Astyanax mexicanus: one gene and its partners. The protein of the gene in region 2 interacts with the protein of the main gene of each other region in a pairwise test. Links are inferred from orthologs where the notes say so. Each region holds a gene or a part of one and is shown on either strand. Other genes may lie near its edges. The genes, in order: pdcd7, fez1 and pam16.

Evidence for each region.
Region 1: the proteins of fez1 (region 2) and pdcd7 interact in a two-hybrid assay, tested with the Homo sapiens proteins (2 studies listed by BioGRID and IntAct). The link is inferred for Astyanax mexicanus from reciprocal best matches to the Homo sapiens genes FEZ1 and PDCD7.
Region 3: the proteins of fez1 (region 2) and pam16 interact in a two-hybrid assay, tested with the Homo sapiens proteins (2 studies listed by BioGRID and IntAct). The link is inferred for Astyanax mexicanus from reciprocal best matches to the Homo sapiens genes FEZ1 and PAM16.

What each region holds. Positions count from the first base shown.
Region 1 is NC_064423.1:9,379,438-9,388,079, forward strand, and holds the start of pdcd7 (programmed cell death protein 7), read right to left. Parts: upstream 3,580-8,642; 5' UTR 3,444-3,579; coding exon 2,373-3,443; intron 1,337-2,372; coding exon 1,198-1,336; intron 342-1,197; coding exon 111-341; intron 1-110. Other genes in the region: clpxa (caseinolytic mitochondrial matrix peptidase chaperone subunit Xa), read right to left, coding at 6,991-7,081. UniProt on the Homo sapiens protein: Promotes apoptosis when overexpressed.
Region 2 is NC_064427.1:33,816,888-33,824,632, reverse strand, and holds the start of fez1 (fasciculation and elongation protein zeta-1), read right to left. Parts: upstream 3,444-7,745; 5' UTR 3,160-3,443; intron 1-3,159. UniProt on the Homo sapiens protein: May be involved in axonal outgrowth as component of the network of molecules that regulate cellular morphology and axon guidance machinery.
Region 3 is NC_064426.1:40,098,636-40,107,078, forward strand, and holds the start of pam16 (mitochondrial import inner membrane translocase subunit tim16), read right to left. Parts: upstream 3,310-8,443; 5' UTR 3,167-3,309; coding exon 3,164-3,166; intron 1,637-3,163; coding exon 1,552-1,636; intron 871-1,551; coding exon 734-870; intron 636-733; coding exon 570-635; intron 1-569. UniProt on the Homo sapiens protein: Regulates ATP-dependent protein translocation into the mitochondrial matrix. Inhibits DNAJC19 stimulation of HSPA9/Mortalin ATPase activity.

The DNA of each region.
Region 1 (8,642 bases), on a different chromosome or scaffold from region 2:
TTCAGGAAGATGCCGCCACCTTATGGTAACAGTGGGGAAAATATTTACCATCCACATTCATAACAAAGAGACAGTTTTAGATGTGACTTTACACTTTACTATTTATTTACCTCCAAACAGCATGGAGTCTATCTCCTGTTTCTTAAGCAGCAGCTTTTCCCTTTCTTTTTTCAGCCGTTTTTCCCGATCCCGTTTCCGCTCCTCCTCTTGTTCCCCCTCCAGCATGACCCTCAGGGCCTTCTCCTCGGCCCCATAAACAGCTGTGCGCTTCTTGATCAGGCTCCTCAGCCGCGTCAGGTGGCCCTCGAACACCTCGTCACACTCCTTCTCTGGAAACATGCCTGTAGAGAACGTCAAATTTAAAGTTATAGAGTCCAGAGTTCTACTATTTGCAATCCCTCTCTACAAAAACTAGACACGCTGTGTTTGCACACTTGTACATCTGTGTCAGCAATTGGTGCAACAGAAAGCAGCAAATGGCATTTATTTGAAGAGATTTGTCTACAAACATGTGGACATATGCAGTAGTAGCCTAAGGTTTGGACACACTTTATCATTAGTGTTTTTTATTTTTATTTCTTTATTTAATTTATTTTCTACATTGTAGATTAATATTAAAGACATACAAACAATTAAGGGACACACATAGAATTATGTAGTAAACAGTAAAAAGTGTTTGTCCTCCGCATTAATCCCCTGATCTAAACCTGGTGATCTGAGATGGTGATTTGAGGTGATTTAATTGGGAAGAGCTGGAGCTTCCTTCAAGACGCTGAGAAAACAATTCCAGGTGACTCTCCCTCATGAAGACACTGAGATTAAAATCTTACCAATCTTACCAAGAGTGTGCAGATCTGTCCTCAAAGATAAAAAAAATGTGCTACTTAGAAGAATCTAAAATAAAAAACATATTCTGGTTTGTTTAACACTTTTTGTTTACAAAATAATCCCACATGTTCCTGCATAGCTTTAACGACTTCAATATAAAATGCACAATGTAAAAAAAAAAAATCAGGAGAAGAGGTGTGTCCAAACTTTTGGCTGGTACTGTAGTGTATCTCACTGTTTTATTTGACCAGTCATTAAATTGTTTCTCTACTTGTTGTACTGTGTACAAATGCAAAGATACATAATAAAGTCAACTGACCAAATTGGTAACATTTGACTAATTAAATGCATAAAGAATCCGTTGGTCACCTTTCCTGGATGCTGCCTCTTTGCGAAGTTTCCTTAGCTTTTCCAGAGCCTTGAGAATGTCCAGCATTCGCTTAGAATCTGCCTGTTTCTTCCTCACCTCGGACAGCACAGCGTCTGCAGCCAGTTTCAGCTCACGCTCCTAAATGAGAAAACACTTGTAAATTAATCAATCAATTTAAATAACAATCAACTCAGTATACACTCAAATTAGTCCATGTCTTCAAAAGTGCCAAAACACAAAATATTACAAATGTGTTCACCAACTTCAAGCACTTTCCACATTTAAACAGCTTCTGTGCATTTAAATCCCATGTGAAGTTTCTACAATCAGTGATAGTTTGGAGAGACATGTCATCTGCTGGTGTTGGTCCACTGTTTTTTATTAAGTCTAAAGTCAGTGCAGTGTTTTCCCACAAAATCTTACAGCACTTCCTGCTTCCCTCTGCTGACGACTTTTATGGAAATGTGCCTTTCATTTTCCAGCAGGACTTTTCCAGGGTTTTTATTAGCTGAAAGCCACAATCAGCCACAATAAAATAAATAAATGCTTAAAATAGATCACTCTGTGTTTAATTCATCTATATAATATATGAGTTTCACATTTTGAACTAAATTACTGATATGAAGTAACTTTCCAATTATATTCAAATTTTTGACAGTATTTTAGCCAGTCATGCAATTATTTCCTAAACTACGATAAATTAAAGTTGTCTTTAAAATGGTATAACTGCTTTGTTGTGCTATTCTATTATCATTATGTCAGTGTCATTTAAAGGTCCTAAAATGACAATTGTATAATTTATCGCAATAACTTCTATATATCTATATATTTCATCCACAGAACGTTCTTATCGTTACAGGCCTAGCATGAGCCACAGAGTCCTATACTACTGGGGGTAATTCTATACAAGGACAAGGCAAGCTGTGAATGTGTGTCTTTTGCACATTTGTGTCAGCTGCTGTGGGTGCAACTTAAAGCAGCTGACTGCATTTACATAAAGGGTGTCCACAAATATTTGGACCCAGCGCAAAACTGGTAGCTGTCAGATGACTACGTTTGGAGTAAAACGTAGTTATCTGGAGAAAAACTGTACACCTGATGATACACCACCCAACACCTCACATGACCCAAAGCCACGGCACCTCCTCAGGCCCCTAATGACCCCTCAACTCACCCTGTTCTTCTCCTCCAACTCTTGTATCTGCTTCAGCTGGAACTTGTCCATAGCTGCCTCCCTCTCCGCAGCCCTCCTCTCCTCCTCCTGCTTCTCCTCCATCCTCTCCGCTCTTCTCCTGCGCATGCAAGCTCGCTTCTTCTTGATCAGCTCCAGGTTCTTCTTGACCCTGCTGATGACCTCTCTGTCCTGCAGGCCTGCCAGCCTCTCCTGCAGGCTGCTCTTCAGCTCTCCGGCTCGGGAGTAGGCCTCGGTCCACACGCCCTGGTTCTCCAGGTTGTTTTTGAGGGTTTGGCAGAGCAGGGTGAGCTCTGAGAGCATGTGGACTGTGCTGTAGAGCTTGTGTCTGAAATCTGAAACAGACTGTTTGGGGGGATGCTGAGCTGCTTCTGCGGCTGATGCTGCTGGCTTGCTCCTTCTTCTTCTCTGCAGGAAACCTTTAACCCACTGCTCGTCCTGAATCCGCTGTGTGGTGTCTGCGTCAGGGGTCACCTGCAACATGGACGTGGTGGATGTGGTAGTGGTGGTTCTGTTTCCATTATTCTGCCCATCCCCTGACCAGTGGCCTTCTGGGGGGTTGTTGATATGGTGAGGAAAGGAGCTGGGATGTGGTTTATGGTAGTCTGGAGTGAAGCTTGGACTGGCTGGTGGGTTGAGTTGGTGAAACCTGGGCTGGTGCACTGGTGGACATGGTGTTGGGATTGGTGGTGGTCCAAAATTTGTAAAAGGGCCCCCTTGATCAAAGCTGCCCCTATCAGTACCTACATGCGCTTGCTGCCCCCTGCTGGCCGGAGGAGGCCACAGCGCGTTCTGCTGCTCGCCGAAGAAGCCTGGAGGAGGCCTGCTGGGGTCGAAAAGTGGAGGGTGAGAGAACGGCGGGGGCTGGAACGGCGGCCACTGGCTGTACGGCCCGGGCTGTCCGGGCTGTCCGTGCTGTCCGGGCCACGGCGGCGTCGGGGGTGGAGGGACGGAGCCGGGCGGCGCTCCGACACCGTACCCGCCTCTGCTGCCGTACCCGCGGCCCTCTGCCGCTCCCGGCGGCTCCGCAGAGTACGGCGGGAGGTTGTTCATGTTTCCTGCGAGTCCTGAATGAATGCAGCCGCTGTGTTTTACTGTAACAGATAAACAGTAACCCGGCCAGTTAACTAAACAGCTAAACAGTTTCTCACCGCTGCTCCCCGCTAACCGGATGTAGCGCTAATGCTGGTCACTTCCGCTCTATGGCTGTTTGGGTGTGTTCCAAACGGAGTGAGTGCACTAGATCTAGGGCACTTGAAAGAAAGGGCGCCAACAACAGACATTTAAATGTAGTGTTTCAAACCGACTGTATGTCTTTAGCCATTTAAGCTAGCTAAGTATCAAGCTAGAAAATACCATCTCAAACAAATATATTGAAATATATTGAAAAGTTTTAATTAATCAATCATAGTTTGGTCATAGTATCATCATAATAAATTATTTCTCGTATATTATATAGATGTACTGTGTGTAATACATCTATATGTGAGTTTCACCTTTTGAACTGAATTACTGAAATAAAGTAACTTTTAAATAATATTAAATTTTTTAAAATTAAGTTAGCTATATTTAGAAAGAGATTTATTAAATTAAGGGAACAGGTTTTTGAACATAGATGGGGTTTACCTGTTAAATCATGAAAGGCCATGCACACACCACTTAGAAAAAAAGGAAAAATCACCATCAAAAAAAAAAAAAAAAATATTAATTTTAGAATATTAGAAGATAATTGCAAATAAATTACATAGCATTTTATCAATTGAATAAACTAAATCTGAACATCTGAAAATAATAAATGCAAAAATGTAATTAAATAATGACTGCAATTCATTTTTCAAAATATTAAGAAATAATTTCCAAATTTTGGGAAAATATCTCCAAACAATACATTATCATCTCAAAATAATGAGGTAAAATGTGTTTATTTTTTTCATTTTCTGTGTGTTTTGCAATCCCACTCTCTCGTTTCGTGCTAGATCAAGCCAAACTGCAAACCCCCCCACACAGAAACCTTAGTGGTAACTGTGCAACAAGGGATGCCAATCAGGATGATCTATTGTCACGCTAATAAAGGGTAACTAATCCCCCTGATTTTAGCTGACTCCACCCTCAGCTCATATTTGAAAAAATAAAAAAATGTGAGGAGTAATTTGGGAGGGGCACTGGGTGATGTATGGGTTTAGGGGTGGTGCAGAATTAAAATCTGATTGGGGTGAGCTGTGTGCCTCTGATAGCTTTGAGACTCAGAAGTTGAACTTCACCAGGGGATAGACTGATTTGCATATTGTGAGTGTCTGTGAACCAAAGTATGCAGACACATCATCCTCAGTTTAAGTTTATGAAATGTTTCTAAACATTTTCACAACTTTAAAGGAACACGTTTCAGCTACTAATGAAAAAAATGATTTTAGGTTTAATGCCTCTTTAATCAATGTGTATGTGTCTTCTTAACTTGCTTGCTCAATAAAATATTGTATATAATTTGTGGGGGGCAGGCGGCCCCTATTTAAATGTGGGAGACTCCCTTAACTTCCGTGTCAGGTGGGATCTCTGCTGTCCTCTCAGATATCCGTACCTCCATGGATGCATTTTTCGAATGGTGTCCTACCCAGTCAGCCTGCTGTAGCCCTTAGCCTTTTTACCCTTGCTTCTTTATTCTCCAAAACTACCCATTGCCTTTATTGTCTGGTGCACTATTAATGTACTCATTAAGCGCAAGTGATATTTGATTAATAAAAGAACATTGTGGAATAAATGAATCCAAAGCCAGAGAGTTAAGGACAGCTTTATTAACCCATATCATTTTACAAGAAAGCCTACAAAAGAACAGAGGAATGGGATCTGTCTGCTTAACATCCCAGAATAAATACGTTGATCTAGGACCAATAAATCAAAATCAGTTCTGTAACATAACTGATTTAATTAATTCTGAAACAAAAAAGATCACCACCAGGCTGCACATAATAACCAAATTGCTGATATTGTATTATATTATGTATTGAAAGTACACAATTAGCAAACAATATATTGTGCAGCTTTAGTAATTATCATAATGATTAGAGCAAAAATGGGAGGTGATCCTAGATCAAAGATTTTTCTGAAAAATCTGTACACATGATCCCAGCTGTAAAATAGTTGAAGTTCTTTAAAAAGTCTGTCACAATTTGTCAGTCCATTTGAACACATTCAAAAACAGTGCCTCCACCATGTTTGACTTCAACCTATCTTGTGCTTCTTCCTACTCAAGCTTATCTTGGTTTCATCTTACTACAGAATCTGTGCAGGTTTTTTTGAAGAGGTTTTTAATCAGTTTGATCTGTTCTTTCTGTTCTTGAATGTTATCAGAGGTTTAAAATAAACCAATCTGACTCAGACAATCCATGATGGTGCGTATACACAGAAAATCAGTCTACACAGAAAAAGCTACACCTATTAAAAACATATCTTAAGAGAAGGTTTCCCAGTCAGAAGGAGAGATGAGTGTTGTGTAATTCACAAAAGTGGGATGTGAATTACACAACATGCAATGTGAAAGAGGAAAATGTGAGCAGCGAGAGATACAAGGTGCGTAATTGGAGGAATTCTCAAAGAATACTGATGGGAAATCTAGCTAATGCAGCAGCTTATAATTCCATTTCAGGAGGGTCCAGTATGGTTTGTGATATCCCTCATTCTACTCGTCTTTTATCTGCCAGTGTTAGTAGGTGTGTTTGAGCAGGACTGGACATCAGTGTATCAGCCCTCCAAGACCAGATCTGAAGAACCTTGGTCTAACAGGTTAGAGTAACAAGACTATGCTCATGTTTAAGCTCCTTAAGGACCAACCAATCAGCAGCGTTCTGGAACAGTTATTGTTCTAAACCAGTCCATTAAAAGACAAACAAACCCATGCACAAAACTAATGCAGCATGAAGGGTAATACAGACAGCAGCAGATAAATAGAGGACTATAAAACTCTATTACAAAGTTGTTTTGTTAAGAACTACTTCCGGTGTGTCACAAATATGCTCACTCAGATTTCATGAGGAGTTTCCCTGTCAAGTAAAAGCTAAAGGAGTATAATGAAACAAAACAAGTACCTCAGTGGATAAATCTCAACAGATTTACACTGTAGAGTGGAACATTGTGTCCAGAACTTTTTTTTATATTATAACACTCTGAGCAGAAAAAGAAAACGGTTATTCAACATTATAACAAAGAGGAAGATGTGATCTTTATCCTCTTATCTCCATTCAAACCAATGAAAGCAAACAGCTCATAAAAATCTAAACATATGTTTATAAAGGAATAAAATATTTTTTTACATTCACTATTAACAGTCACTCACTGGGAGGCATAGTTCATAGATTACATTTGGTTTAAACATGTTTTTCGTCTAAATCATTTGTCCATAAGTATAATTCAGGATAAGTGAAAACTCCACACTGTGACTTACAGGTGAATCAGTCATTAGTACAGATCATTCAGGGCTACATACATCAGTGTGTACATGTATGTGTGTAAATGGACCCATGGTGAATCATTACTTACTTAATAAACTGAAATAAAAAAATTATTCATCATTTGGAGCTTAAATAAGAAGTTTTTTTGTTGGCTGGTTTTAATTCTTGGCTGCATCAACCTGCCTGGTCCAGTTCTCTTCCTCCATTCCAGAGTCATATTCCTCCTCTGCTGCTTCTTTTGCTGGTGCTCTGCAAAATATACACACAACATTTTAAATATTAATACACCAACATGTTAATAATTGAAATGTAAAATAAAATGTATATAATAATCTTATTATAATTCAAATCAGAAAGGAAAATAAACACAAAATCAACCAAATTGTCCACAGTCACCTAAATAAATTGCTCCTTTCACACAAAGCTCTTGTATCTCTAAAATTGCAAAACTTGCAAAGAAAATCTTTATTTATATATATACAGTTGTGGTCAAAAGTTTACATACACTTGTAAAAAAACATAATGTTATGGCTGTCTTGAGTTTTCAATAAGTTCTACAACTCTTATTTTTCTGTGATAGAGTGATCGGAACACATACATGTTTGTCACAAAAAACAGTCATAAAATTTGGTTCTTTCATAAATTTATTATGGGTCTGCTGAAAATGTCACCAAATCTGCTGGGTCAAAAATATACATACAGCAACAAAATTTGTCAATTTTGGTGATGTAGCGAGTTGTGTCAATCAAATTAGCTTCATGTCATGGCCTCTTCACTTCTTGTAAGTGATTCTGATTGACTACAGCTGTTGACTTCTCATGAGCCCATTTAAATAGGGCTCATTTGACCCAGTGATTAGACTCAGCTACAAAAGCTACAATGGGAAAGTCAAAGGAACTCAGTGTGGATCTGAAAAAGCGAATTATTGACTTGAACAAGTCAGGGAAGTCACTTGGAGCCATTTCAAAGCAGCTACAGGTCCCAAGAGCAACTGTGCAGACAATTATACGCAAGTATAAAGTGCATGGAACAGTTGTGTCACTGCCACGATCAGGAAGAAAACGCAAGCTATCACATGCTGCCGAGAGGAGATTGGTCAGGATGGTCAAGAGTCAACCAAGAATCACCAAGAAGCAGGTCTGCAAGGATTTGGAAGCTGATGGAACACAGGTGTCAGTCTCCACAGTCAAGCGTGTTTTACATCGCCATGGACTGAGAGGCTGCCGTGCAAGAAAGAAGCCCTTGCTCCAGAAAAGGCACCTTAAGACTCGGCTGAAGTTTGCTGCTGATCACATGGACAAAGATAAAAGTTCTCTGGTCAGACGAAACAAAAATTGAGCTGTTTGGCCACAACACCCAGCAATATGTTTGGAGGAGAAAAGGTGAGGCCTTTAATCCCAGGAACACCATGCCTACTGTCAAGCATGGTGGTGGTAGTATTATGCTCTGGGGATGTTTTGCTGCCAGTGGAACTGGTTCTTTGCAGAAAGTAAATGGGATAATGAAGAAGGAGGATTACCTCCAAATTCTGCAGGAAAACTTAAAACCATCAGCCCGAAGGTTGGGTCTTGGGCGCAGTTGGGTGTTCCAACAAGACAATGACCCAAAACACACATCAAAAGTGGTAAAGGAATGGCTAAACCAGGCTAGAATTAAGGTTTTAGAATGGCCTTCCCAAAGTCCTGACTTAAACCCCATTGAGAACATGTGGACAGTGCTAAAGAAACGGGTTCATGCAAGAAAACCATCACATTTAGCTGAACTGCACCAATTCTGTCAAGAAGAGTGGTCAAACATTCGACCTGAAGCT
Region 2 (7,745 bases):
CATTGCCTTACCTGTAAATATTGAAAAGGGCTGTTGTTTTTCTTTTTTTACTGAGCATCTAGTACAAAAGTTTAAGACACTATTGAAAATTAGAATTAAAAAGCTCCTTACCAGGGCAATATGTTTAATTTGTTCAGTAAAACACTAACATTAGAATAAATACAAAAACATGAAAACCAAACTTTGGTGATTTCTGATTTGTCACTGTGTTCTTTTAAGTTTGCCATGGCTTCCCTCTGGTCTAATATTATTTATAGTTATTATTCAACACCTGGTTTGATAAATCAGGTGAGCTTGTTATGGAATTGATCATATCCACTTTGGGCGCTGGCTGTGGGCATCCAGGAGAGATCTGGAACCAAGCATTATACAACTAGCAATTTCTTAAAGATGAGAATTTTGTGTTGCGTTTTCCTGTACACAAACACAGACTCTGACTGCTGAGATAAATAACCAAAAATAATGTGTTTAGGTGCATAAAACCTCTGCATAGAGTTGTAGTAAATGATCTATTTTCTTATTCACAGTGCTGTATTGTTTCTAATTGGTTTTGGGATTTTTTAAAACTATTTTTTGTATATATATATTTCAAACTGTTTAGTGTCTTCAGACTTTTAGACTGGGGAGTGAATGGTACATTGTGAAACCATGTTGAGCTTACGTACGTAAATAAGTAAATATTCTTACTGTTCAGGTGTATATTTGGGTAAATTTAGTAAATTTCCCAAACTTTCATGACACTATTATTTTCCAGCAAACTTTGACAGAAACGGATCCTGTTTTTTATCTCCATGAATAAGCCTCGAAGGGTGTGTGGAAACTTAACATCGCTAGGACAAAGACAATTGGATCAAAATCCATTTAAACGGGCCTGACATAAGCCTTTCCCTCTGCAGAGCATTACTCAGCAAAGTGCCATGCCTCTAATGCTTTACTGTTTTATTGTAGCACAGTGTGTGTGTGTGTGTGTGTGTGTGTGTGTGTGTGTAAGATACATTAAAGTTGAGCTTTTGACTTCCACACAGGGTTTCTGTGTCTCTACTTCCATGCCTGAAGCCAAATGCTGTCAAAAATACCAAACAAGGCTATATTAAAACTCAAATCAATAGTCAGGACAACAAGCTGAAGTCATGCAGTGCAGTGACCCGGAGGCAAGGCCCTGATTTACTCTGCCAGAGGGGGAAGGGTGGGGGGGGCCTGGTGGCAGAATTGTGCTGGATTGTAAATAGAACGTTGATGAGAGAAATCGATGGAACTCAAACGTCATGACTGGAAAACTAAATCACTGAACACTTTCCATAGAGTATATACAATTGTGGAAAACATGATCAATTCCAAATCTCGCCTACAACATAATCCAAGTGCCATACACATAACAAACCTGAAACTTTACATGAGAGGGAAAAACTCTTCTTTCTGCTTTACCTTCAATGAATGTTTGTGTAAAAAGGCTTAATTCCAAGTTATTACTAGACTATTTCTATTGGTCCAGTCACCATGAAATTGAGAAGGTTTTGTGTGACAGCAATGAAATGTTTTAAATCATTGCAGCATAATGTTATTACAGTTATCTAAATGATCTACAATCTGTGAGGACTCTAATATCTATATAAGTGTAGCCCATGTGTCAGGGCAATCCACTTTATATTAGACAATCGTAAGAATGAACATTAACAAGAATGAGCAGGTATGCTGACTTTTATTTATTTAGGATATTTAAATATATATAAATTCAAATCTAATGTCTAAATAATTGTAATAATTAGCAGTTCATTGCTCTTCAAAAGGATATGCTGTAGATTACATACACATACAGCTTTGGAAAAAAATTAAGAGACCACTTCAGTTTCTGAATCAGTTTTTCTGATTTTGCTATTTATAGGTATATGTTTAAGTAAAATAAACATTATTTTATTCTATAAACTACAGACAGCATTTCTCCAAATAAATTCCAAATAAAATTTTGTCATTTAGATCATTTATTTGCAGAAAATGAGAAATGGCTGAAATGACTAAAAAGATGCAGAGCTTTCAGACCTTAAATAATGCAAAGAAAACAAGTTCATATTCATAAAGGTTTAAGAGTTCGGAAATCAATATTTCATGGAATAACCCTGTTTTTTAAATCACAGTTTTCATGCATCATTTTGTTTCAAGCTGTATGTATAAAGGCAATCTGCTGTAGAGTATATACACAAATATACACTCCCATGAACATACATTCAAATCTTTCAAACCCTTAAATGTAATTGTTAAAATTGCTTATTATTATAACCCCATGTAAATACTGCATATTTAGTGAGAAATATACTTTATATTAATAGCATTTAGAAGAATGTGTTCTTATATTTTAAATTTACGTTATATTTTGTTATTGTACGTATTCTTATATTACCTTTACACAATATAACCTTTACTTTATAAGATACTATACAGATTTAGATACTATATTTAATATATATTGTATTATATGTATTATAATATTACAATAATATCTACATGTCTCATTCAAAATATATCTATTGGGAGGGATATACTCCTGCTTTGTAAATATTTAATGTAGCTGGTTTCACCTGCTTAATACAACATTAGCATCATAATGATGCTAACAGGCCGTGAGCGTCGAGCTGAGGAGAAAATATGGCGGCACGAGATGACTGTAAAAAAACATGAGTGAGAGAAACCAAGCCACCATATATCAACCCTGCTAGATACTGAGTGAGGAGCTGTAGGAACTGAAGGAGCTGAATAGTTTTATTAATTTATAGTCAACAAAATTAAATACAAATCATAGACAGTGATAAAACACTGTTAATTATAGGAATATTACAAATAAACGTATAGATAAATATTAGCTATTTCCTGATATAGGTCTCTAAGGGCTTAGAGAGAAACTGTTTACACAGGGAAAGTGATGGAGATAATGATAGGAAAGGTGAAAGAGGAGGAGGAATGGAAACAATGGAAAGATGGATAGAGAGAACAGATAGATGAACGGATAGATAACAGAGGAGGGATGGAGAATGAAAGATCAAGGTTAGACGTTCCCTGGAGGAGCAGGAGCAGGAGGGAGAGTAGGAGGAGGATGAGATGGAGGGAAAACAATGGGGGATTGGAGATGAAGGGCAGAGAGAAAGAGAAAGAGACACATTGTTTTACCTTCAGTAGAGTCTTTCCTTGTTGTGTAGCAGGATAGAGAGAGAGCCCCTCCTTAGTCCAAGCAGGTCAGAACCACACCACCATCATGCAGCAGGATATGATGGCAGACACTTTCATTTCTCTCCCTCTTTCTATTTCTCTATCTTTCTTTATCTCTATAAATATCCCTCGCTTTTCCTGCCCTGCCTGACTGGCTCGCTCTGTTCCTCAGCCTGAAGCAGCCGCTTGTCTTTTGATCAATAAGCAGCAGCAGCAGCCTCCTCACCGAGCCTGCGCATCACTACGGAATCACCGCCCCCTCCAGTCCCTCCTCCTTCCGCGCTCTCCTCATCTACCTCATCATTCACATCACTCATTCAAGCCACACCCCCTTACCCCCCTCTCTCTCCCTCCCTTTATCTCTCTCTCTCCCTCTTTCCTTCTCTCCGTCTGGCACAGTGTGTACAGCCTCCATATTCATGAGAGAATGGAGGGATGCTGTGAGGGAGGCTTCATTCATTCATACCTTGCTCCTGCTGCCTCCTTTGTCACTCTCTGTGTACTATATGTGCTGGGCTGGTGCTTGGACCCCATTATTGCCACTTTTCCACTGCTGTCAATATTGCTAGCCATACTTGTAGAGACATGTACAGTACAACAGACCACTTCAGTTTCTGAATCAGTTTCTCTCTCTGACAGCAGTGGAAAAGACAGTTAAAAGAAGGGATACACAAAATATGTGGCAAAACATGTTTGGCTCTATGTTTACCATAACACTGAATGCCTTTGTGTATATTTACTCACATGTGCCTTAAGTAGTACTGCTGTGGTAAATTTATGACTAGCATTGCACTGCTGTGGTAAATTTATGACTAGAAAAGCACTTGATATAGCTAAATGAATGAAATACATCAATGATTAGGATAGCATGGCTAAAATCAAATACTTAGTACTTTAATTTAATAAATATTTAAAATTGTATTTTGCAAGTGCTGTTTCTTTGACAACAAGACAAAAAAAGAAGATCCATAGGAAAAATATATCAAAGCAGATATACTTACTAAAGAGTCTCCCACTGCTTATAGTAGAATTATTATTGGAATTAATATTGAAATTTAAATTCAGTTAAGCAATCATTTTATAAACCAAAACAAAGCATTTTGACTTATTACATGTCTTATAAAGGTGCAAATATATAGGCTCTAGATGGTTCTTCTGCAGTGGATGGCTTATTAAAGGCAGATTCATATGGCCTACTTTGTTTTCAACCCCATGGGGATACCAACATGTATTGTAACAATGTGCAAAAGGAGACTTTGTGCTGTGTACTTTGTACCGATCAGTCTTAATGTCTGTAGACAGCTGTGGAAAAGACAGGAAAAAGTAAGAATGCAGCAAATATTGTTTTAAAATATGTTTAGCGAGTAAGAGAATAGTGTACAGGGCTGGTTGAGCTTCCTACATTTTTCTGGTAAATTTACGACTAACATCGCACTGCTTACGTAAATTAGAATTAAAATGATTAGAATGGCACTTTGTAGCTGAATTAATTAAATACATAAATAATAAGAATAGCACTGTTAAGTGTTTAGCAAATATTTCAAAACTATAGTTTTGCAAATATTTTTTCTTTGAAAAGCAAGACAAAAATGCATTTAGACTACAAAGTGTATGTACTGTGAACAAAAGAGCTAATCTTATCAAAATCTTCTTTGGTTTCGGTTTCACAAAAAATATATTTTGGTGCGTCCCTAGACAAAGATATACTTACTTACGTGTCTCCCACTGCTAACAGTATCAATACATACTGGTAATTTAAACTCAAATAAGCAGTCCTAGGGACAGAAACAAAGCAAGCCTCATTATCACTAATGACTTCCATATGTTTTCTGAAGATTTTTTTATATACCACATAGATCACAACTGCTTTAAATAAGAAAACAACAATGTAATTGCCACAATGATAATAAAGAAGTTTTATGAATATTTAAAAACAGAACAGAAACATTTTTGATTTGTTTATCTTGCGTTTGGGGTTCTCTATGTCATTCTTTAACTACCCCATTCAGAGTGTAGATGCTTAGATGCAATTAAACAAGCCTATTTAAAAATCTGTGCACTGTAATAAAAAAGCATATTTACAACCATGTTATTTTGCATTCAAATGAAACACTATAAATATAGTCACAGATGCAGTATATGTAATTGGAGGACCATGGTAATATGAATTAATGGAGCAAGAGGACATACACATTTAGACCAGCTATCAAATCACATTCTACACTCACTCTCTCTCTGTCTCTCTCTCTCTCTCTCTCTCTCTCTCTCTCTCTCTCTCTCTCTCTCTTACACACACACACACACACACACACACACACACATACACATACACACAACGGTGACGCCACATCTCCTGCATGGCCCTAATCCCTGACTGGGCTTAATCTGAGCTTCACGCTTTAAAAAGCACCATGTACACACACACACACACATTCACTCAGACAGTGATAGAGACAGACGGTCAGACAGACACACAAGCACAGAGAAAACACACACACACACACACACACTCACTTTCTCCCAAGCCTGAATAGAACTGCAATCATGTAACCGTGGGGCAGCCCACGTGGTGCTGTGTTCAGGCTGTTGACAGTCGTGCATATGTGGCGGATTAGCATCTGATCTAGCAGATTATAGACAAAGCTTTCTCAAATTCACACTCACACCACAGTGAGCGTAGCAGCTGAGGAAGAAAGGAGGATGAGATACACTGGTGAGCTCCTTAATAGCAGTGAAACATCAAAGGATGATACACATTACTGAGTCACTCTATGTAGAGTCTTGATTATTTATAGTAGTGTAGTGGGATTTTATGCAAATCACGGCAATATTTATTTCAGACAAATTGTGCAAATATCTCCTAGAGAACTAGGTTTAAAAAGGTCTTTTTCTGAATAGTGGGTGTTGGTTCAAACAAACTAATACTAATAGAAGAAAAAGCTAATGAAATAATGTAATTAATTAAAAAGTTGCATTTTCTTTTTTAGGATCATGATTTTTAACCATTTTGAGGCCTCAAATAAAATAAACTCTACCAGTTCTATTAGTAATTAGTAATAATTACCAATATAATTAGTGAATTCATTAATAAATTAGTTAATAATCTGAAACAATTAGCAGTTCCATTTGCTTTAATTATATACAAAAAATGACAGTGCTTTCCAAAATAAACCTTTTTAAAAAATGTTATATATTTTATTTATGTGTATATATTTCATGTAGTTTATAAAATGTAAATACCTAAAATATTAAAATATATTCAGTATATTAACTCTAACAATATATTATTAAATAATTTGTAAAACAATAAATAAATTGTGCTTTATAAATATTTATAAAGCACATACAATAAAGAAATATAACAATAATAATAATAATAATAATAATAATAATAATAATAATAATAATATTTGTTATTACTACGGTTGTTATTATTAATTATTCTGGTGCATTTTATTGGTCTGTTTCTAATAAACTCAATAAAATATAAAAATAAATACAATTTAAATAAATACCTATCACGCAAAAACCTGGTTTTCCTTATTTACCCTGCCCCCCAAACACACACACATACACACCACTGATTCCGTATGAGAAACTTTTAGCTAAGCTTATTTCCATCAATGACATCATCCATCCATCTCTCATCGCAACCTCAACAACCACATCTAACCATGTTATAGATATCTAATTATACTGCATTTAAACGCAAATATATTGAACATGCAAATTGTTATGACCCAATCCGCACACATCCTTCTTAAATCTGACATCCAAGCAGACATGGTGAAGCGAAACCCTCTGTGTAAAAACTGCTTCTCGGAGATCATCATTTCCTCAGTTTAAATTTCCGCCCTCGTCGCATGATCTGTAATAAGGATGTGAGTGGGATAAACCAGTAAGCTTCTACTCAAGGACAAACTGGAACGACCTGATTTTTCCTCAATAAGGACAGCTCCTCCACCCCCTTTCCAACACACACACACACACACACACACACACACACACACAGCCCCCTCCATGGTGTAAAAGAGTCTGAGAGGCCCCGTTGCTATAGGAAACTGGCAGCACAACTGAGCATTGCTCTTGATACGGTTGCTGTGGTTCTCATTGAAAAACCTTTTTCTCCACTGTGTGTAATAGCTTCACATAGAGAGCGTGACGTCATGTGTGTACAGAGAGGCCTGTGATAGTGTAGTGTGATAGTTCCACTATGGTGCAAGCTATGGGCTTACAGTGACATGAATCCATACTGCAGTTTGGAACATTCATATCCATGAACATGGCACTGCCATGTTGGTTTCACTGATGCTCAAAATGGTCAGATGTAGTAGAGATTCTATTTCAGTGGTCCTTTTCCATTGATTGATTAGCAGAGATTCTACAAATGTATTTGTAAATTTACAGAACATATCTTCATGGTTATAAGTTGACAAAAATAGGATGTGCATCCAGGAAACCCCTTAAACATCATGGAGCTGAAAGAATTCTGCATGGAGGAGTGGGAGACAAAAAAGGCTCAGTCCCAGTTTGTGTTGGTCATCCTC
Region 3 (8,443 bases), on a different chromosome or scaffold from region 2:
TTTTTTTTTTTTTAATGTATTTTATCTATACATAAAAATGACAATATGAAGGTTGTTCACTCTGTGCTGGTGATCTATCTTCAAAAAGTTGCAGCACAGCACAGAAAAACTTACAGAGCAAGTGAGTTTTGGCAGAACTGAGGGAATGTAATGAATGTATCTAATAAAGTAACTTGTAATCAAACTTAATTACTTTTTTAAAAGTCAAGTAATCAATAAAGTAACTACATAAAGTAACTTTTTAAAGGGGTAATCAGATTCAACCTTTTTCTACTATGGTTACTAAAGGAATGCAATTGCTGATAGTGGTGTATGAGGTGTAAGTGTGTGTTGCTCTGGTACAGCAGTGCTGCTGGAGTTTTTAAACACTGTGTTTAATCACTCACTGTCCTCCTTTCTATTACACACTCCTACCTACTACAGCTGCTCCATCTTGTAGATAAAGTAAAGTCAGAGACAGAAGCTCTGAATCTGTAGTTAAACGTTCCAAATGTTCAAATGGTCATAATGTTATGCTGATCTGTGTATCTCATAATCATAATGATAATAATGATGATGATGATGCTCACCTTGGACTGCAGATAGAACGAGCCTCCCACTTCTTTGTCGTTCACTTTAAATAAGTGCTCGTAATTCTGTAGAGAATATGAAAGATGATCTGACTTTAGTACACTAATAAAAATGTGTGTATGAAGAGCACATGTGTGTATCAGTGTGTTTACAGTGTTTTTACCTTCTGGATCTCCTCCGGGGTCAGCGTGGAGATGTTCAGGATCTGCTGGGCTTCCTGGACGGTCATCCCGGTGAAGCTGGACGCTGCGGCCGACTGCGCCCCCGCCTTCCCTCGGGCTTCTGCTGCAGCCTGACTCGCTGTGACACAGTGCACATGTTTAATAATGTTTATATATGATTTAGTAGTTAAAGAATCCTGATAGGCTAGATTCATACACCTTATTTACATAAAAACATGTATACCTTGCTTGTTTATGCAGTGGTTTGTAAAAGTATTCATACCTCTTGAACTTTTTCACATTTTGTCACCTTACAACCACAAACTTAAATGTATTTTATTGAGATTTTAAGTGGTAGACAAACACAAAGAGGCACATATGTGTGAAATGAAACAAAAATTATACACGGTTTACCTTTTTATGAAATAAAAATCTGAAAAATGTGACGTGCAAAAGTATTCAATTAATATCCAGGGCAACCAATTGCATTCAGAAGTCTTAATAATAATAATAATAATAATAATAATGGTAATAATAAAATATACCAGCCCTTTTTCAAATGCTTAAAAACAGAACATACATATTTGACCATATTTTGATCAAAAGTTTACTTGGTAAAGTCAACATAAAATAAAATAGTCCAAACAAAGTAATACATTGATGTTCTTGATATTTTCAACATCTTTTCATTAATTAGAAAGGGGAAATGCCACCCAAATAAAATAAATAAAGTATTTTGCCTTCAGTAAGAGACTGCAGCTGTTTGACGCAGAAAAAATAGTCGGGGTTAAATTTTATTGCCAAGCAGTTTGGAGCTCACCTGCAAATTCCTGACGTAAAGCTCTCGCAAATGCCCGGCCCACCACCTGCGCACCCACCACTATAATCTGGGCCAGGTACTTTGCCTGCATACAAAACAATCAGTCACAAAAACACAGGTAAAATATTGCTTTTAGCTGCAAAATCAAATACAAACAAATATTTAAATACTCCAACAGTCAAAAGGTTTTAACTGTAAGCCATCACACACACATTTACTCATTTATTATTGCTGTAGTAAATCACACTTAAACTCAGAAGCCATTGCTTTATACAGCTCTGGATAAAACAATTAACAGACCACTTAAAACTGATACGTTTCTTTGATTTTCCAAATTAAAAACCAAAAGCAAGATGGATGATCACAAGCCATCAAACCAAACTGAACTGCTTGAATTTTTGCACCAGGAGTAAAGCAGCATAAAGTTATCCAAAAGCAGTGTGTAAGACTGGTGGAGGAGAAGAACATGATGCCAAGATGCATGAAAACTGTGGTTAAAAAAACAGGGTTATTGCACCAAATATTGATTTCTGAACTCTTAAAACATATGAATATGAACAGCCATTTCTCATTTTCTGCAAATAAATGCTCTTGTTGTCTGTAGTTTATAGAATAAAACAACAATGTCTCTCAAACATATACCTATAAATAGCAAAATCAGAGATTCAGAATTCAACTGATTCAGAAACTGAAGTGCTCTCTTATTTTTTCCAGAGCTGTATATAACATGATATATAATGTTGTAAAAAAAACTTACCCATTATAAAAAAATGAATTAAATTAAATCTCTGTGAGGTTGAGCAGTATTTATTGGGTTTATTTGGGTTAACACTGATATATGTACCTCAAAAATGTCAAATAACTCCAACACTGAACTATATTTAAATCTGAAAGAGTTAAAATTACACTTCAACTCTAATAATAATAATATTAAGTGCAGGACTTTCCTCTATTTCAGCTTTAGCTCAAACAGTTCAAACAGTTAAGGTGAGCTGCTGTAATCACCTGTGACACCTGTGTTTATATTGATTTTAAACATATCTAGATATGTGTGGACGAGCCTGAACACATACTGTGTCTTTGGGGACTATCATTATAATTACTAGTTCAACATTTTAATGATATTTGATTTTAAGAACATGTTCATCAGAACTAAAAACTAAAACCTTCTTAAAACTATGGTAAAACAGTCTCTCAAACAACAGGCAGTGTATCCATAACCTTTTGCTGAAATAACTCTTTATATAAGATTTGTAACTATATATTTATATATTTTATTTACTTCTAGAAACGTGTGCTTATCTAGAAAATCAGACTTCACCTATTGTAGTACATTTTCCTACATTAAACCAGGAGTTTTCTAATATATATGACACATTCAGGCTGTTAAAATTAATACTATAGTGTCTTAAAGTATATTTCTACACTAAAACAGCAATATTGATCAGATAAATGAGTAAATAATCAGTGTAATGATGATTAAAGGTCTGATATAATCCTGTAGTTCAGCAGAAAATGACTGCAGGACAGCAGATTAACCCGTTTCTGTGTATTTATATCCTGATTAAACTGAAGCAGTGTGTAATTATGATGTAATATCGTTAATACTCACCATATCTGAGCCTCGCGCTTCTCCTGAAAATTAGAAATATGATCAGATTCTCAGTTATATTATTATTATCATCACACGCGCTTCCATCAAGGTGAAGAAACACACCAACCACAGAAGAAGAGCCAAGTTTACCCCTCAGCGCTTTACAGCACTACACCCCCCTACTGTTCAGTACCGCACACTGCAGCTTTTTACACCACTAAATTGCTAATTTACCATTCCACCTTAAATGCTGCTAATCCACCTTAAATGCTGATTTTTTTTACAATTCCACCTTAAATGTTGCCATTTACCTAAATGCTGCTGTTTTTTCCATTCCACCCTAAATGCTGCTAATTTACAACTCCACCTTAAATGCATCCAATTTACCATTGCAACTAAAAAGCTGCTAATTTACCATGCCCCCTTAAAGGTTGCCAAGTTGCCCATCCGTCTTAAAGGCTGCTCAAATCCTAATTTACCACTCCACCTTAAATGCTGCTCATTTACCATTCCACCTCAAATGCTGCTAATCTGCCATTCCGCCTTAAATGCTGCCAGTTTGCTTTTCCGCCTAAAATGCTACTAATTTACCATGCCACCTTAAATGCTGGCAATTTACCATTCCCTGTTTAATGCTGTCAGTTTGCTATCCCGCCTTAAATGCTGCTAATTTAACATTGCGCCATAAATTCTGCTTCCTATTTAAAGATTCCACCTTAAATGCTGCTGATTTACCGTTGCACCTGTGTGCCGACACACTTCAGGGTTTAGATGCGTTTTTAGGCTTTTAAGGTGGAACACAACAATTCAAATCCAGAAAAGTTAGGTGGGTCGTTTATCATATCGGCACAACATAAGCAAAAATGTTTAAAATTCATAGAACATCTACTACAGATCAATGAGATTTAAGGTGGAAGGAAAAGTTGTGAAGAATAAACTAAAAGCTTTGTATGCGTTTAACATTGTATAAACACCCACAATTATTTCTCATTGTATAATTCACACCATGCCCCCTTAACGATTCTACCTATCATCTTGCTCAATAACTCTCACCCAATCAGAAGGTAGAGAATTAATTAGCTCTGTAGGTGCAATCACCTGTACCTCTAGCCAGACAGATTCTCTAGTGCTCGGGTTATTACCTAGCTTTTTAGCCGCTCATTTGATTTGGAGTGCGTGCGGTCATACGTAAGTAATATTTATCATTTTCTTGATGTTTAATGTTTGAGAAATGTTTGAGAAATGTTTAAATGATGTTTGAAGGCTAAACATTTATATAAGTGGGTCTTAGTTCTTTGTTTGTCCACCTGAGGGTGACAACTGTTAATTTGTGTATGTTTGGTAGCGTATTGCTGACGGCTAACCGCTAGAGGGAGCTCCCGAGTGAGTCCTCAATGAATAGGAGTCAATGGAGCTAAACGGCTAAAAACACACTTTAAAATAGTGTTTAACTAAATCTGCAGGATTTTCCTTTCATTTTAGAAAGTAGAATAAAGTATGTTGCTAAAAACTATCATAACGTACCTATATATGATAGAGTTTTTCTATAGTAAACTGATTTTATGTAGTAAAGGCGCTAGCATTACTGCTACTGTGATCTGATTGGTTGGTGAGCTAATAGCGTAGTTTCACCCATAGCATGTTTTTTTTTAAAAAGCTTTATAACTGGAGTTTGAAAGGTTAAATAATATGTCTGCAGTAAAGAAACATTTTATATTGATCTGTATTGAGTAAATGAGCAATTTTTAGTATATAAATTAGTGTGGTTTTATGGAAATATATTTATTTTGTATAATTTTTTATACTACTGTTATTTGGGCTGGTGATGGAAAATAATAGCCTACGTATCTATATATTAAGAGGGAAACGAACCAAATTAAAGTGAACTAGTCAATTTTAAATAATAGGAACTAAACTGACTAGTTTGTTTTAAGTGTGAACTGGCACAACACTGCTGACTGTGCTGTAACCTTTATTTTATATATTCCACTAAGCTAGTTCTGTATACATTTATTTACAGAACCATACAATTTATTAAAGCACTGCGCATTTATTCCAGTTTCTGTGGGTTGATTTACACCCAGTGCTCAACCAGAGCTGTTTATATAGAGACTATCCACTTTTTATTTCCCCCTTTATATAAGTAAATTACTGCTAACCGCTAGAGGGAGCCCGCGAGTGAGTCCAAAATGAATGGGTGTAAATGGGGCTAAACGGCTAAAAATACACATTAAAAATAGTGTCTGACTACATATTCATGATATTACTTTAATATTAGAAAATAGATTATAATATTTAACTAAAAACTTAAAGAAACCTCACCTGTATGTTTTAATTTCTCTACAGTAAACACGATTTAGGCAGTAAATGCGCTAGCAGTAATGCTACTGTGATCTGATTGGCTGATTAGTGGAGTTAAAGCCAGAGCGCTGGGTTTATTACAAGGCTTATAGCTGCACTTTTTTTTTAAAAGTTAAAAACATTGCCTGCAGTTCTGACACATTTGATATTATTTTGTGTGTTTAGTAAATTTTAACATTTTCAAAATAAATATGGAAACTGTACTGTTTCAGTTAAGTATTTTTTTGATAGTTCAAACTTGAAAATAGAATTTTCAGTGGAAAACCTCATTTTTTAGTGAATGAAACATTAATTTTAAATTTTTTAATGTTCTAAACTTCTCTTCTTCCCCTCACAATCAGAATTTTACGAAAAAATATCTAATAATTTAATCCAACCAACTTAAAAAATTGAAAATAAGAGTTCTTTTTTTCTTTGTTTTAATTAAATGTATTTATTTTGTTTGGGGCAGCAATGAAAACAGGGAAAAAAACATGCAACACCAAATGGAAAAAAAAATGAATAATGAAGTTTTACATCTAATTTTCTATTTTTAAGTTTAGCCTTAAATGGTCTGAAAATTTAACTGATAAACGGGACACTAACCAAAAATAATCAAACATTTATAAAGTCTGATTTTGCTCAATTGTTCCATATGAACCCATTCATTTTGGAGTCACATGGAAGCTGCTTTTATACAATTTAAGTTCAATGGATTTTTTTACCATTTCAGGCTCACTGGACCTGAAGAGTTTAAATGGTAAAAAAAAAAGTTTGATTTGTACAATATAATGACACACCCCTATACCACAGTTAAAACAGACTGCACTACAGTGTGAGATACTGGCACTACAATACAGTAAACTACAGTGTTCATATTTGTTGATAACAGTGATGGGAATAATGGCGTTGAAATAAACGGGGGTAAAATAAACTCAATTATATTTAACTACAAGGGGCTTACGGGGACGAGGAACACAAAAGTAATGCAATAGTTACTTTTATAGTGGAGTAACTCAGTTAGTAACTTTTTTGAAGAAGTAACTAGTAACTAATTACGTTTTCAAAGTAACGTGCCCAACACTGGTTGTTAATCATATATGTTTCCATTCTTTTTTAAGGCGTGGGAACAAGATAATTAAGTCGTGATCAGGGTCTGAGCCTCTTGCTGAAGGTGGAGTGTGATGTGAGAGATGTGAGCCAGAGCCTGTGGCCTTCAGAGTCCCCCGAGTCAAAGTAAGTGAACTGAACCCAGAGTTCATTGTAAATTTATTTAAAGACTATATTAAATCTATACAGGAACAAATGCAGAATTATTTAATAAACAAAAAGTGTAAAACAAACCAGAATATGAAGATGGAAATATTCGAGAGAGAGAAAGAGAGAGAGAGAAAGAAAGAAAAGAGTGAGGGTTATTTATAAGATTTAATCCATATAATAATTAATTAATATAAAAATATTAAAAAGTGATCTACTTTTTGAACATTTAAAAAAAAATCAAATATAGCTAAAGAAAGCTAATATTATATAATATAATAAGGACTATAAAAAGTGAATTATAGCAAAAAATATGGTCCAAAATTGGTTATATAATTAATTTATGTAAAAAATATTACAAATTTCAGATTAATAATGTTTTAATGCATAAACATTGCCAGAAGAAAAATACAGTATAATTTATTTTATTCAATGTGTTTTGTATCTTTTTATGATTTAGTTTTACATTGTAAATTTAATATTGAAGACTATATTAAAGCTATACAAGAAAAACATTCAGAATTATTCTGGAAAGAAAAAGTGTTAAAAAAACCCAGATTATTATAGTTTTATACTTTAGATTATTTTAAATAAGTATCACATGTATCTTTGAGGACAGATCTGCAGAATCTTGGTGAGATTTTAATCTCAGTATCTTCATGAGGGAGAGTCACCTGGAATAGTTTTCTCAGCGTCTTGAAGGAAGGAGTTCCTGGAGGTGCTGAACAATAGCTGCTGCTTTTCCTTCACGCTGTGAAGCTCCAGCTCATCACAATTAAATCACCTCAAATCACCATCTCAGTTCATCAGATTTAGATCAGGGGATTAATGTGGAGGAATAACACTTTTATTTTATTTTATTTTTTACTGTTTGCTACGTAATTCTATATGTGTACCTTAACTGTTTTCACGTCTTTAATATTATTAATCTACAATGTAGAAAATACATTAAATAAAGAAATAGAAAAAGACACTGAGTGAACCATATAGAATAGAAAAATAGAAATGACTTTTATAATAAACTGTAATTAAACAAGCAGTTAAAGTCATTTTAACAAACAAAATGATATATGATTAATATATATATATATATATATATATATATATTATTTAAACAAATACATTAAACACTCCAGACGTAATTTGTTTAGTAATTTTTGTTTTATTGCAAGGCAACATTCCCACAGTACAGAGGAGAGGGTACAGTAATGCAGTTATCACTTATCTCCACAGTATAAAAATCACCATCAATCAAAAAACTGAGACATCCCAAAGATCAATCAGAGACAAGATACAAAACACTGATGCTCATCACATTCAGAACAAGACTTCCAGTAATAATTCCCTATTTATTAATAACATGAAGTGTAAAACACTAAGAAGTGCTATTAACTAAATGATCAGTATCCTCCTGTATTATTATTAGTAATAACAGTAACAGCATTAGGTGATAAACATCATTGGCAAGATGATTGGCAGCTGCACTGATCACATACAATACTGTTAAAACTGATTACTGAGAGAGAGAACCCTTTTATTTAATAGAACCCTTTACAGAAGGTTCTAGATATTGTATCTGTTAGAAGTACAGAGATTCCAGTTCTACATCCCATCAAACACCAGACACTAACTACAGCTCAAAAAAGTGGAGTCATTTTACATTAATTTGAATTCTTTTTTTATATTCAGTTTATATTCTAC